2 linked regions of the Struthio camelus genome follow. The protein of the gene in region 1 interacts with the protein of each later gene in a pairwise test. Links are inferred from orthologs where the notes say so. Each region holds a gene or a part of one and is shown in the gene's direction. Other genes may lie near its edges.

Region 1 (7,620 bases):
AAGGACTTCTGGATTTGACCGTCCTCAGGTTAACACGTTTCCATTAGAAACGTACCACTGAACGATTAGTCTTACAGAAACTGAGCAAGAATTGCTGAGACAAAACCAGAATTTTCTTGGTATAGTTTTTTTTTTATTCATGAAACAGACGGAAGTCCTATTTCCTTGAGAGATAGTAAGAAACAGCTCAAAGACAATATTCTCCTCCAGAAACTCTGCAGATATTTTGGGAGAACCTGGGGGGATCCAGGTCAAGGAAAGTCACAGCTGGGGAGAAGTCAAAGTCCTCACTGGTTAAAATACACACCAAAATAGGAAAAAAAAAAACAACCAAAAATCAAAACCCTGTAGAAACGAAGTTATAGGATGAAAATGAGGGATGCTTGAGGATGCATCAAGCCAAAAGCCCTGCAAGATCCATTTGTCCTCAGAAAAAGGTGGATGCGGGCAAATAACCCAGTGGAGAAAGCGGAGCATGTCATCGCACTTTGGGTGCTCTCCCGGGCTTTGCTGCACTGCAGGGCCAGGGCGCCTTCGGGCGCCAGGGCTGGGGCACGCTGGGGCCACGGCCCAGCTCCTCGTCAGTCAGCCTGAGGAGTGGCATCCTGTGCTTTCTGCGGAAGGAGACCAAATGGGGGCAAAGGACAGAGCAGCACCATGCTCCCGCAGGAGGGGACCCGGCCGGGGAACCCACCTGCCTGCAACTCAGCATCATCCTGGCTTGTGGCAGGAGAACGGGGCAAGACACAACAGCTCTGTGCCCAGAGGCAGCTGGCTTTCTTCTCAGGTCTCACATATCTCGTTATTTTTTGACCTGGAAAGCCCCAGCCAGAAGTCCCCCATCTTCCAGCCAGGCCATGCACTCTGAACAATTTATCTGACCATTAACCTTCATTTGATACAGATAATTTCCACGCTCAAGAGTATCAAAGCAGAGCACTTAACCCTCAAGCATCTTCAGCAGATGCCGGGGGTACAGAAGGCTGCAAGTACTGCTTTTTTACTTTCATCCTGGTTGCCGTGTATCTGTGGCCCCAAACAGCCTGGCTGTGACGCCTAACGAGTGAGGCTTGCTATACTTGCTATGTGCTACTCAAAAAGACATTCAACTCCATGCAAAATTACGCGCTCAGTGTAACCATCATTAGTGAAATTTCAAACTGTGAGTGTATCGGTGTCTGTCTTCTGCCAGTGCGTGATGCCCCTTTAAACAACTTGTCCCTAAAGAAACTACTCAAATCACTCCGCTCTGCTATGTTAGGAAGCCCCCCATGAAAACCCACCGCTCAGCCCAGCTCTGTGTTGCCAGTTAAAGGGTGTGTCAAATAGACATGACAGGTCTCCTTTTCTCTCCTCTGCACACCTTTATCGTAAAAACAAGAGTAGGAGCAGTAAAGCAGAACGGTGCTGATGAAACGAAACAAAGCACAGGGAATTAAAGTGCTTTTCAGAAACAGATTTACTGTAAATCCCGGCCAGCAAGGCACGTATACCCACATTGTACTAAAATGTATGCTGTGATTAGATTGTGTGTGATAAAAGGGTTTTCAGCAAGACAGGGTATTATTTGTCTTACTGCGGATGTATAATTGTTCTAGTGAAGCATCCATTCTAATGGCCTTATTCTTTCTCTTTCATTTTCTTTTTTTAAGAGAATTTTTGTTCTCTGAAGCTTTTTGTTTCTCCATTATGACTTCCCATCCCTCTTTAGAGAAAAAGCTGAATAAGAAAGAGTGAGACCTCGATTCACAATGGCACAGAAAGGCTCAAGAAGGACTTGGGTTCCCAAACACCCCCGTGAATGCAGGCCCTGCTGTCCCTTTGGCCACTTCCAGAACATTAAACCGAGACTTCTGGAGGGCCAGACCCATAGGATAGTGTGCTCAAAGCACCTGAAAAGCTTGCTACCCAGCCACTCGCTAGCATCGCTCTTGACCTGACTGATGACATTTTTACTTCTGCAACTAGAAACCTGCTCCTACAAACCTGTATTTACAGCAGTCCAGTTCAGATTTAAGTTTATTAGCTATCCACTGTAAGACTTTTTGATAGTCTTTGGTGCTTTGGCTTAAGGAAGAAAAGGAAAATTTTTCTATTCCAGCTTTCCTGAGCCCAGGCATTGCTAACGCAGGGAGGGGATACCCCCAGGACTACGCAGCCTCCTCTGCGTACCAGTGCCATCCGTCGCCAGCTGCAGTGAAAGGTTTTTACACGCTGGCCAAGCCGAGATGGTGATGCTGAGCACAGAGGAGGAGAGCTGCGTTGGGCTTGTGCCTCTCTGGCTGGTTGACCACGTGTTATTATTACTCATACCGTGGCAGCTGCGAAGCAGAACAACCGGGAGAAGGTTCTCAGCAACCCTGCCCCAGGCCTGCAGCTCTAGCACTGACGTCTAAGGCCGTGACCATTTGGTCACTGTAGGTTTCACTTTCTTCAGCTGTAAAATTAACATAATTCTCCCCCTCCTTTAAGAGCACTGCAAAGCTTGGCAACCCGTGCGAGCGGCAGGAGCCTTTGACCATAAGCCAGGCACACGGTAACATGTGAGCTGCCCCCAGGGACAGCGTCAGATGAAGCAAGCGCCCAAGAGCTCTGCTTCATCGGAGCTAGAGGCCGGGCCTCCCGCCACCTAACTGCAGCCAAGCCACCGAAATACTTGAGCTAGGAACGCAGACGCTCTCGACTCTTCTGCAGCCAACGGAAAGAGACACACACGCACTCACAGAGCAAACCTACCTGCCTGTTTTTCTGCTCTGACTAGAAAGGAAACTCTGCCTGCCACGCTCCTAGCGGAGGTTACGGGGTTACGCAGGCTTCGCTGGGTGGGACAGACCCAGCACGGAGCTCAGCACTAGCCTGAATCCAACAACTGGCTCTTTGGTTTGGGCTCAAACTGAAAATAATGCAAAAATAACAAATCATTTTGCATTGATCTAAACACATTTTTGCATTCACTATATGCATTTTTTTTATAAACTCCAGCAGCAGCAAAACTATCAGTTTCAAAACAAAGCTGTAAGTTGCAAATAAAATGATGAAATGCTTAGGTTTAGAAAGACATAGATAAAACATTCTTAAAAAGACTTCTTTTTTTAAAACAGATCAACTATTACGACCTGACCTCAAAATGCATTTTCGCAGGGAATTTTTACCCTTGGAAGACAGCTTCACTTCCTTCTCCTCAACACCCTTTGCAAGTGAATCCTCACTTTTCTCCTTCTCCCTCCCTCACGTGATGGTGCTTTTCTCTTGCCTCTCACGGCAATCAAAGCAGTTTCACACCTCTGGCCCAGCAAACGCTTGCTTTCTTTTGCCCTCCTCTGTTTTCGCTTGCTTTCCCCCCGCAGAACCGCTGCCCGTCCCCTGCGCCCTGCGCCGCTGCTCCTCTCCAGACCGCCAGGAAGGGAACACGGCCGTATTCTCCGCTTCCTAGGAGATCGGTTCCAGTAAATTGCTAGTTAAGTGACTACGCGTAACTCCAGCCGCCGACTGCTGAGAGACCTCTCTGAACAGATCTTTGTGCCCAGCTGGAGCTCAGCGAAGGTAAGAGACATCCTCGCCCTAAAGACGCCCGCCCACGCGCCCGGCGCTGCAGTAAGAAGGAAGCGAGACACGGGCATCCCGATGTGTTGTTGGCGTGGAAGTGAATAAAATACTATGAAGATGCACTTCTTCATAGTCAGCTAAGGGGGGAGGTTTTTCCTTCCTTTTTTTCCCTTTCAGTTTTCCTGCCCTATCAAAATTCATGTTAAAATACAGATTCCTTAAAAACTTCTGAGGGGGTGAGCAGACAACTTCTCCTGTAGAGCAGGCGTTCGGAGGAGGGTTTTATGGATGCGTTAGACGTATTACACTATTATCAATTATTTGTGGACATACTGTAATGAATCTGTTAGCCTATTTAGCTAGCTGTTTGAAATACTTCATTGTGGCGCTGCAGTGGGTGTGCTGATGGGGCACGGCCAGGCCAGAGAGCCCTTCACCCGGGGCCTCGCGCTAACTCTTATCCCAATGTCCTTCCCGAGTTTGGGTTTTACTTTTCAGTTTCACATACCCTCTTTATTCATACAGTTATTTACATGAGGAGATGCAAATCAGAGCATTTCCAGATACACCTAGAGGATCTCTACGCACACGTGCACACACCTGTACACTTTGCAATGGCCGTAGCTTAGCTGGAGTCTTGAAAAGCATTTTCAGTTGCAAAATGCAGCTTTGCAGCTCTGTGAGTGTACACACACACTCCTGTGAGTGTGTGTGTATACATATATACGTATATATATACACATATACATGTGCCTCTACCAACCTCAGAAGGTACTGGAGAAATGTGGCACATCCTTTTCTTTTTAATCTTTGTAACACCGCAGAGTTATATCGCAGTTTAATTTCCTCCCCCGTTTATCTGTTTGTATTGTGCTGGTTTCATTTGTGTTTTAATTGCTCCCCCTTCTGCAGTAGCTGCTCAAGTCATATCACTGAATTTTCTTCTTTTCTTTTCTTTTTTTTCTTTTTTTTTTTTTTTCCTGCAAGCAGCTCGCATGCACACACATGGCAAGGAACAAACTGACATCACTTGACATCTCCTTGCTTCCTCATTTCAATATTAACTGCTCACCAGAAGAGAAACGGGTCTGAGGCTAGGGGCTGAGCGTGTGCACGTCTCCCTGTGTGAGCAAGAGCCTTTCTTCCCCTCTGCCCCTTCCCCTCTCCAGGTCATTATACTGAGCTGCCTGAAATTGCCCAATGCTGGTTTTCACCAGTTTGACTGTAGAGAGCCAGGAGCGTGGATGTGTTTCACTTTCTGCTTGGGCCGGGCTACAGCGACAGCTCTGAAGCTGAGTGCCGCCGCTGCTGCTGCTCTCTTCTGAGAACAAACTTCTTGCTGACAGATTCCTTCCGCTCTGCAAATCGATAATAATGACACAGCTGCAGTTTAAAGATGCGTTTTGGGTAAGTGAGCATCTCCTCAGTATTTCCTGTGTTAAATGTATCTATACTTAAAAATAATTTAAAACACAGCTTACTTTTAAATAGAGTTTAAATCTAATTTAATACTTTTCTATATTTTAAATTTAGTTGAGTAAAAAAAACAAATTTGCCTCCATGCAAAAACATACTGTCTGGGTAGTTTAAGCATTCGGTCTTAAACAGAAGGAAGCTTTGTAAAGGATTATGTCTAATTCACACGAACAACTGACATTCCTAATTTCTAAGCTATGTCCAAACATTGTTTTTGGAAAGGACATGGATTTGTCTGTCTCATTGTCCTAAGAGCGCTTGCTTGCAGCGAGTACCCTCAGTTTTTAGGAGCGGCTCCTCCGAGCAGGTGAACTGCTACCCGTTACTATATAAATTCTCTAGCGTTTGCATGTAGAGTTGAGCAGCACCTGCAAAGGCAACCAGCGATATGCAAAACGTTACTGCTCACCCGTGCCTGCTCTTACATGCAAAAGCGTGTGCATGAGGCATTTAGGGTGTGCAGGAGTCCTAGGGCACCATAGGTGGAAAAAACTAGCCGTGAGGTTGAGAATGAAGCCAGAACTCTCAGAACTGGCTTAAAAACGGTGGACACTAAAGCATGCAGATATGCTCGGTTCTTATTTGACTTTCAGTCGAAGCATCTCTGGGTGTCCTGTTTTCGTGCTCTTTCTCTGCGGTTACAAGGGGGGAAAAGCTCTAGTCATTTATCTGGCAAGTATAATCTGAGATTCTCTTGTAGTTGCTTCTGGGGCTGAGGTTTCAAGGGAAAAAACAAAACAAAAAACAAACAAACAAACCCCCCACATGTAGCAAGTTTGGAAATACAGGATGTCCCTTGGTTGCCTCCTGTCTCAACAATCACTTTTCCAACATCAGGGATTGGCATATATATAAAGAGACAAAGGCAGGTGAATTCTTCCTGCCATTTGCCCATCAAGCTAGGTCAAATGGACCCTCCACGGTGCCTGTGCTTTTTGTGCTGTTCTTTCAGCCCACCCTCCCTCCAGGATAAACTCTCTCTTAGTAAAACAGATGGGCAGACCCAAGAACACATTTTGGTAAACCACCTTCCCTCAGACGCTTCCAGGAATCCTCCCTGCCCCCACTATAGTACTAGGTTTGAACAGCTAAAAGTAATGTAATGAGGAAATACCAAAATTAGTTTTCATTTAAAAAAAAAAAATTAATGGGTTCATTGATTTTCATTTTCACCACACCTACGGGAGATTCTCCCCACCTGTTCTTCTGCAAGGTTACCAACCACATAGTGAAAAGCACAGCGCAGGGCATAAAACATAACCCCGTTCTACTACAGAAACTTCAGCTTTTGCATTTCTGAACTTCCTTCCGAATTGTGCAATCTTACTTTAGAACTGATACATTTTGTATATTTACTGTGTTTAGTCATGTTAGCAAGAGTATAATCCCTTCTTGGCTTTGAAGTGCATATTTTCTTTAAAGGAAAGGATCTTTTTTTCTAATATTGTTTGGCTGAAAACATTCTATTGCCAGGCTTGATTAAGAGGGCATGATGTATCCTGTGTGCTATGATAGTCTTAGCTATGCAATAAAAAGCATTTTAAAATGAAAACTTGCAGGATATTGCACAATGAAGCAAAAGAGTACAGCTTTCCCCCCCAAATCGCAAGCTCAGCAATTATTTTTGCATTCACAAGATTCTGTTGTACCCATTAGCAAGACGGAAACATATTTGCTCAGTTTGCTTTGGTGGGCAATTGTTTCCTTTATTCAATTTGTATCATGAATGGAGACCGTCTTCATGATTAAAAAACAAAAAGTACATTTGCATCATAGTAGATCACTCAAAACAGATGCCTGAGCTCCGAGACCTGCCTGAGGACAACGCTGCACCCCTGCCGGGGACTCACCCTGACTAGGTATTCCTAGGCAACAACCCCCTGCTTTTATTTCAGTAGGCTTTTGGATAGGCAGAAGTAGCTCGGGTACCCGACACAATGTAAGATATGTACGTTTTTGCGGTGAACACAAACACTAAAAGCAGCAGATCTTCCCTGGCTAGCAGAGAAATTGCATCATTAATTCTTCCCCAAAGTCTCTCAAACTTTTTTGAGGATAGGGTGGGCTATCTCTCAGGAGAATGTAAGCCGTTGCTTGTAACTGGTATAATTTTTAATTTCTCTTCCCCCCTACTAAATGTAGCAATGATAGGATTGTGCTAGTGGTGTCACGCTTGTGCTATTTTTTGTTTTACTTTATCAAGTCCTGGGCTAAAACTACTATATTTTTTAATGCCGTTTTCTTAGCTTTTACATCCTCCACACACTCAAGTAATGGTTTAAGGGAAGGTTGCTCAAAGCCTCCAGTAAAATGTGTTTCTTCAGCAGAAGTTTCCTGTCCTCTGACAATATTTCTTTTGAAAATTTTAGGGAGATTAAAATAGGAATCAGTTTTGATAGCCAGTGCAGAGCAATTACTAATGGATTAATATTCTGCTGTGCTGCTGTAAAAATGTAACAGATGTTACCTGTCTTCTCTAACATCGTATTAGACAGCTAGGTAAATTTCCGTATTAATGAGGAGCACGTCTGCGATACCAGCTGAGTTTCACGTTAACAGAGTTATGTTACTAGACAGAGATCTGAGTAACGTTCAATT
Region 2 (7,343 bases), on another chromosome or scaffold:
CTATTCTCGTCTCTTTGATCTGTCAGATCCAGCAAGAAAAGTTAATGGCTAGTTAAGGAAAAACAAATTGGAGCTGCCAAGCAATTTGCTGGACACATCTGCCATTTAGAGACTTCTCTGTGGTCTCGGTATAATCTGAAGAATAGTCAGGTATCTAAGCTTATCTCTGCTTTATCTGATGGGTGTTCCTGAGGAAAGTTTGAACAAGCTGCAGCTAGTATACTTGAGACTTCTTTGCGGATTAAAAGAAGTCCGAGAGACAGAAGAGCAAAAAAGAGGTATCTGATTATCTGATTCCTCTACCTACAAGCTGTAGCTTGAATCTACTAGGTGAATGCCTTTCAATTCCATGCATTCAACCGTACACATCCTCTTCTTCGGTCCAAGGGCTGCCATTCGCCACTGCTGGCCCTTATATCCTCCCCACAAATGCCGTGGATTTCCCTGTGCTCCAGTGGAGGTTGGGGTAAGTGAAATGATGGCAAGCAGTGGACAGGAAGCAAGATACAGGGGAGATGCAGCCCAAAAGCATCCACAAGCCGCCGAGGAAGAGGAAACTGAGGAAGAACCAGGGAGAGAAGGGAGCAATGCTGAGAGAAGTTGAGGAGTAACACAGCCCCGCCCAGCTTTGGCATGTGCTGTGAAGGTAAGGGCTGAGATGAGGGAGATTCTGGTGTTGTGTACAGGAGTACTAAAATAGTAACGGAGGTTGTAACGTGCCGCTGCAGGGAGCCCGAATCCTTTACAGTGAACACTTCACTCTTTTATCTCCAAAACATCCTTCTACTTGCAGGGGCAAGAAAGCAGTCTGTAAAAATATCCACCACCTGAAAGGAAAGGTCGGATCCTGCAGCTGATTTCAGTGGCTCTAAGAAAAATACCTGTTTTACTCCTAGTAAATACTGAAAATGATTTCATAGTGGGATTTTCTGACGGTTCACTAAAATGCAGATTTATACTTTAGGGAGTATGTTTAAACAGTTTAAGCCAACATTTACCTTATAGTGTCCTCAAGTATTTGTATGTTGCATAAGTCCTGAATAAATTAAATAACATTGGTCATTAAATTCCATTGTGTTACGTAAAAAAGAATTTCAGTTTTGTTCTGCTCTAAGGAGGAAGGTATTGGTACGGGATATTAATTTCCTCGGGCCAATCTATCACAATTTGGTTTCCTACCGGTAGGATAGCCACATCATCCGCAATGAAGTACCCCACATCCAACCCAATGGATGGCTGCTGCATAGCTAATACTGATCAGCCAACAGCTGTTAGTGGGCCTAAGATATAGCTCCTGCAAGGGAGCAAAGGGCTTTGAAAGGGCACGGAGGAAGTTAATGGACATCAGATGAGATCTCTCTTGCTTGCGACACTCCTTCTCCCTCTGGGCTGCATAGCCCAGTGTTTGTGGCATTTACGCAGCTGAAGGGAGTTAAGGTCTTCCAGATGCGATGTAAAGTAGGAGCCTAAAATGGGTCATGTCTGAGGTTCCCTTTAACCTCTTGGCTGTTTGAAGAGCATGGGAAGACAGACTAAAGATGGTAGTTAAAACAGCTCCTGTGACTTCTCCGTCTCTCCTTATTCTAGCATTGAGACCATGTCCCCTTTTAGCTCAGATTTTAGAGTTTCCAGGGATCCAGCTACCTCAGCATTTCATGAGGGTCCACACAATAAACAGCTATGATGATGAAGACCCCTCCATATGCCTTCTCATGGTCACCCCACAGCATCTCCCTGTTTAATTATCATTGAGTCAGGGAAATCTTCCACCTGCATTACTTCAGGTTCTCACATAACTGTAGTCACAATGACTTCGGGGGGAAATGAGGACCCACCTCGAGATATCAACATTAAAACACATTTTCTTTTTGTATGAAAGTTATTTTATTTTAGGATCTTCCCATTATATAGTCCCCCCTTCAGACTCATAAATGGTTTTCAGTGGTGCCCTTGGGATATCCACAACGAGGAGGATGTCTTTAGGCTTTAGCTTTGCCCCCTTTGGGTCAAAGAGGCTCCCCTGTCCCCCTCCTCCTTTGTCTCTGGGTAGAGAAGAGTACCAATGATATAACGCAGGTCCAGAAACCTGGGCACTTCTCGCTGACATCTACTTACTCTCAGCCTCCAATTGACAGCCCTCCATTCTGTTCTTTGCAGAGCAGAGCTCCGTTCTCTGAAGACACAGGTCGTAGGCCTGCGGAAGCAGGTTGCGCTGCTAACAAGGTGATAGGAGTAAATGACATTCCTGATCAAAACCCTTGGCTCACCCATCAGTAGATGAAGACAAGCATGTCTGTCCTCATTGTTTAACGGCCTCATGGAGAAATGAAAACGAAGAGATAAAATATGCACGCACAAAAAAAAAAAAAAAAAAGCCAAAAAGGCACAAGTCGTCTCTGCGAGAGAGCAAGAACACTCTCCTCTTATGTAGTACCTTGTTCACATAGGTATTTTGCAGCTGTAATATGGATGGAGAAGGACTGTGTTGCATGTTAATTACACCGAGTCTTGATGCATGACTGTGAGAGTGCTACTGTTTCTGAACATTATGGGAAATACGAAAACCAGAAGCAGATCTTCAAGAGTAATTTCTCCTTCATCATCTTTTCTGTATTTTTTTCCTTATGAAGAGAGTTCTGTAATAATATCTTAATTTTCTGCAGTCTGCTCAATGCCACGCCAAATACTTATTAAACAACATGAAGTTACGTGTGCAAGGGACCTCTTTAATAACAAGCAGAAGCTGATCACATTAGAATTGGCTGACTTTAGCACACTTTGCCTATTAGAGCAAGAGTTTATAGATTCGCTGTACTGTAAAAAGTGGATGTTTCTTTCATAATTTAAAATAGAAATGAGCAGTTATAGAGCATTTCAGGATAGCTGAGTGCAAGGTGGTAGAGAATTAGAAGTAGTATTAGTGGTTTTACAGTAAAATAGGTTAAAACTTTTATAATAAAGATAAGGCACTGTAAAATCCAGTGAGTCCAGAAGCTTTCTGTGTTCTTTTGCTTTCATTACTCGGCACTGAAATATAAAGTCGTGATACTTCCTGTTGCTCACACGTTTTTAAGAGTCAAATATCTGATGACGAAAAAACAATAAAACCTACTTGCTGGATCTCCCTCGGGTGAGTGTTCTGTGTCAGTCTGTGTTTGTTGCTGTTCACTGCAGCGAAGCTTCCAGTCCACGAGTATGATGTTAGTGCAGTGATATCTAACGACTAGTTCTCAGCTCAGCAGGAGGGCGCTCCGCGGCTGTTAGATACGGGAGGAAAGAGCTGTGCTAGGAGTTAAGGAGCTCTAACGACCTTCTCTAAAGTGCCTCGGAGGTCACCTGTCACAGCCATTGCCGAGGAAATACCCCAAGAGCAGTATTGCAGGAACAAAACGGAGCATTTTGGAGTGGATTTTATGCAGGGAAAATCAGAACACCCTGGGGGAAGGCTGTGCTCAGGAGCCACAGCAGGAAGCAGAGGCTTTGTCTGAGCTAGGCGAGTTCTCTCCTGAGACCCAGGATGCAAGAGATGCCGCTCTGAAGCCCCTTTCACAACTGCTCCCAGCCTCAGGAGTCGTAAATCGGCATAACGGTCTCGATCCATGCCAGAAATCCTCCCCAGAATCACTATCAGGAACGATGTAGCCATGGTTCATGGACCAGCTCTCTTTGGATGCTGGGCAGCTATAACAATACACAGTTTTTTAGTTAAATGGCCTTCAGGGACGACTCAGGATCTAGTGCTGGCTACCCAGGTGACTGCCCTCGTCTCTGATGATTTCAAGAGGAAGGAAAGCACCTGTCTGATACAGCCTCCCAGCCGCTTCCCTTCCATCACCTCTGATATCGCCAGCGTTTCCATTCCACCATCCAAGGATCACGGACATCTGCAATATTTCCGGCTGTTGACACTACTGCGGATGGCAGAAATCTGCTTCTAAACTCAGAAGTTTAGATTCGCAAAAGCTATTGTGTGAGTAAAAAAAGGAAAAAACAGAAGAGGAAAAGGTCGGGGGCTATTTGGGGAGGGGATCTATTTCATCCCGATGAAATTCATTGAATAGCCTAAGTGATGCTCTTGGAGTTAAAAGTTATAATATTAATCAGTCAGTGTCCAGACTTTTAAGAGATGTGTGTAGGCAGTTAAATCTGTACGCTCTGAACTTTGAAGAGAGGAATCGAGCGGTCTGTTTTGTCGGCTTTGCACTGGGAAAATATCCCCGTCCTTTGGCACGTCGGCCGCGTGGTGCCGCTGCTGACCGCGAAGGCGCGGAGGCGCCGCGCAGCTCCCGGCCACTGCCGCCGCCGCGCAGCTCGGCCTGGCGAGGCGGTTCGCGGGGCTGCACCTTCCTGGGGCTGCTGTGCTCGGGGGGCGCCAGGCTCAGATCCCTGCCTGCCAGATCGACGGAGACGCATCCATAGCTCCTACTTAGCTCACAGGGGGAGGAGAGCGCTTCCGGAGGCGAAAATGGGGCTGAGAAAAAGTGAGGAACCACTCTCAGGGCGAACGGTGCCTGTGATCCTGCTCCTCTGTGTGTCGGGGGTGAGTGCAGAAACCATCCGGTACTCTGTGCCTGAAGAGGCGGAGAGAGACTTCTTTGTGGCGAATATAGCAAAGGATTTGGGACTCACGGCTGAGGAATTATCGGCTCGACGAGCCCGGCTCGTACCTGAAGGAGAACAGCAATATTTACAACTGAACCAGCACACTGGAGATTTGTTTGTGCAAGAAAAGATGGATCGAGAGGCGCTGTGCGGGCAGAGCGAGCCTTGCCTGGTGAGGTTCGAGGTGTTGCTAGAAAGCCCACTGCAGTCCTTCCGAGCCGAGGTAAGCGTCAGCGATATAAACGATCATGCTCCCATGTTCTTAAATAGGGAGATGATTTTAAAGATCCCGGAAAGTGCAATGCCGGGAGCTCGATTTTTGCTGGAAAGTGCTCAGGATCCAGATGTGGGGAATAACAGTCTCCAGCACTACCACATCAGTTCGAACGACTATTTCCGTATCTCCACCCTGCGGCGGAGTGACGGCAGGCGCTACGCCGAGCTGGTGCTGCACCGAGCTCTGGACAGGGAGGAGCGGGCAGAAGTCACCTTCAGCTTCACGGCTGTGGATGGCGGGTCTCCACCGCGTTCTGGTACATCCTTGATCCGCGTGCAAGTTTTGGATATAAACGACAACATCCCGGTATTCACCAGGAGTCTATATAAAGTCCGAGTGCCTGAAAATAGCGCTGAGGACACCTTAGTGGTGGGGGTGTCTGCTAGCGATTTAGACGCAGGAAAGAACGGGGAAATAGCGTACTCCATCGTTCCAAATTCAGAGGAGAATCACCAGACTTTTAAAATAAATCCAGAGACAGGGCAGATTCGACTCAAAAACCCAGTGGACTACGAAGAAACAAAGACCTACGAGATAGATGTCCAGGCCACGGATGGAGGCGGCCTGTCCGCGCACTGCAAAGTTCTGGTGGAGGTCGTTGACGTGAACGACAATGCCCCCGAGGTGACCATCACCTCCCTCACCAGCCCCCTCTCGGAAGCAGCCCCACCGCAGACCGTGGTGGCCCTGTACAGCGTGCGGGACCGGGACTCGGGGGACAACGGCAGGACGAGCTGCGAGCTGCTGGGCGACCTACCTTTCAGCATCGTGGCGCTGGCGCTGGCAGACTCGTACGCACTAGTGACGGCGGAGGCGCTGGACCGGGAGCACCACGCGGAGTACAATGTTACGGTGCGGGCCCGTGACGCGGGGGTCCCGGCGCTTTCCGCGGCGCAGACACTACTCGTGCGGCTCTCGGACGTGAACGACAACGCGCCCATCTTCACCCACGCCTCCTACACAATGGTGCTGCGCGAGAACGAGCCCGCGGGGACGAGCCTGGGCCTCGTGAGCGCGATGGACGCGGATGTGGGGAAGAACGCCCGCGTGAGCTACGCACTGGTGCCGCCCGAGCCTGGCGCCGCAACTGTGGCCTCCTTCGTGTCGGTGGACGCGGACAGCGGGGCTGTGCGGGCGCTGCGCCCGCTGGACTACGAGGAGGTGCGCGCCTTGCAGGTGGTCGTGCGCGCCGTCGATGGCGGCTCGCCGCCGCTCAGCGCCGAGGCGGTGGTGCGCGTGGAGGTGCGGGACGAGAACGACAACGCGCCCGTCGTGCTGCACCCGCTGCCCAACAGCAGCGCGGCGGCGGGCGAGCTGGTGCCGCGCTGGGCGCGGGCGGGGTACCTGGTGGCCAAGGTGGTGGCGGTGGACGCGGACTCGGGGCAGAACGCGTGGCTGTCGTACGAGCTGGCCAAGGCGACGGAGCCGGGGCTCTTCCGCGTGGGGCTGCACAGCGGCGAGGTGCGCACGGCGCGGGCCGTGGCGGAGCGGGACGCGGCCAGGCAGAGACTCGTCGTGCTCGTGAGGGACAGCGGCCAGCCGCCGCGCTCCTCCACCGTCACCCTCAGCCTCGCCCTGCTGGAGGGCTTTTCCGACGCCTTCCTGCAGCTTTCCCACGCTCCTGCGGGCAAACCGGAGGGCGACGGCGACGGCGACGGCGACGGCGACGGCGACGAGGAGAACCTGCTAGCCCCCTACCTCGTCGCTTCCTTGTGCTCCGTCTCCTCTCTCTTCCTCTTCGCCGCCGTCGCCTTTTCGGGGGCGAAGCTCTGCAAGGGTCGACTACGAGGAAGGCGTTCACCTGCCTCTGCGCACGGTTACGCCGCTGGCGATGTCTGCAGTAGTTTTGCGGACGTGGCCGGCGCGGGCACTCTGTCGGCGGCTTACGGCTATGAAGTGTGCTTGAGCACCGGCTCGGGGAAGAGCGCGTTGCAGTTCCTGCGAGCCGTCCTCCCGAGGCCGCCTCTTCCGCAGAGCTGCGCTGAGGCGGGCAAGCCCAGGGACGAGGAACTCCTGTCCCACTCCCAGCCGGCTTGTGAAGGGGAACTTAATCAGGTGAGAACAGCCCCTCCGTATGTTTAGTTCCCCGCACCTCCTCGTCCCCTCGCCCCATCACCCCTTCCTTTCTCCTCCCTCCCCCACCGCTCCCCGCCGGATACTTCTTGGAATACCATGACGCCATGGGAGGCGCGTCTACGAGTAAGCCTTCCTGGGACCGAGGGAAAGCCTGATTAGTCCCACCAGGGGAAGAGCCCTTGACAAGTGTTTCGGGTGGAAATGCGAGGGACTGCCTCAGGCAGCCACGTTTGCACAGAGCAGCACATCCCGAGTCATCTCTCTGCGGTCCAGAGCGGCAAAAGACGTAGTGGAGTTAGCAGGCGTGGTGGGGGCATTTGGGAGAAACAGCTAACTGTACGGTAATCTGTATGTTCATGCGCTTTGCTTACAGTCCCGGGGAATGGCT

Evidence for each region. The genes of interacting proteins can lie anywhere in the genome.
Region 2: the proteins of PSTPIP1 (region 1) and protocadherin beta-16-like interact in binary tests that used the Homo sapiens proteins (3 or more experiments, as listed by UniProt). The two-hybrid records come from large-scale screens. The link is inferred for Struthio camelus from reciprocal best matches to the Homo sapiens genes PSTPIP1 and PCDHB14.

What each region holds. Positions count from the first base shown.
Region 1 is NC_090953.1:22,311,072-22,318,691, forward strand, and holds the start of PSTPIP1 (proline-serine-threonine phosphatase-interacting protein 1), read left to right. Parts: upstream 1-4,614; 5' UTR 4,615-4,920; coding exon 4,921-4,953; intron 4,954-7,620. UniProt on the Homo sapiens protein: Involved in regulation of the actin cytoskeleton. May regulate WAS actin-bundling activity. Bridges the interaction between ABL1 and PTPN18 leading to ABL1 dephosphorylation.
Region 2 is NC_090954.1:22,385,972-22,393,314, reverse strand, and holds protocadherin beta-16-like, read left to right. Parts: upstream 1-4,329; 5' UTR 4,330-4,465; coding exon 4,466-6,961; 3' UTR 6,962-7,315; downstream 7,316-7,343. Other genes in the region: protocadherin beta-15-like, read left to right, coding at 2,158-2,277. UniProt on the Homo sapiens protein: Potential calcium-dependent cell-adhesion protein. May be involved in the establishment and maintenance of specific neuronal connections in the brain.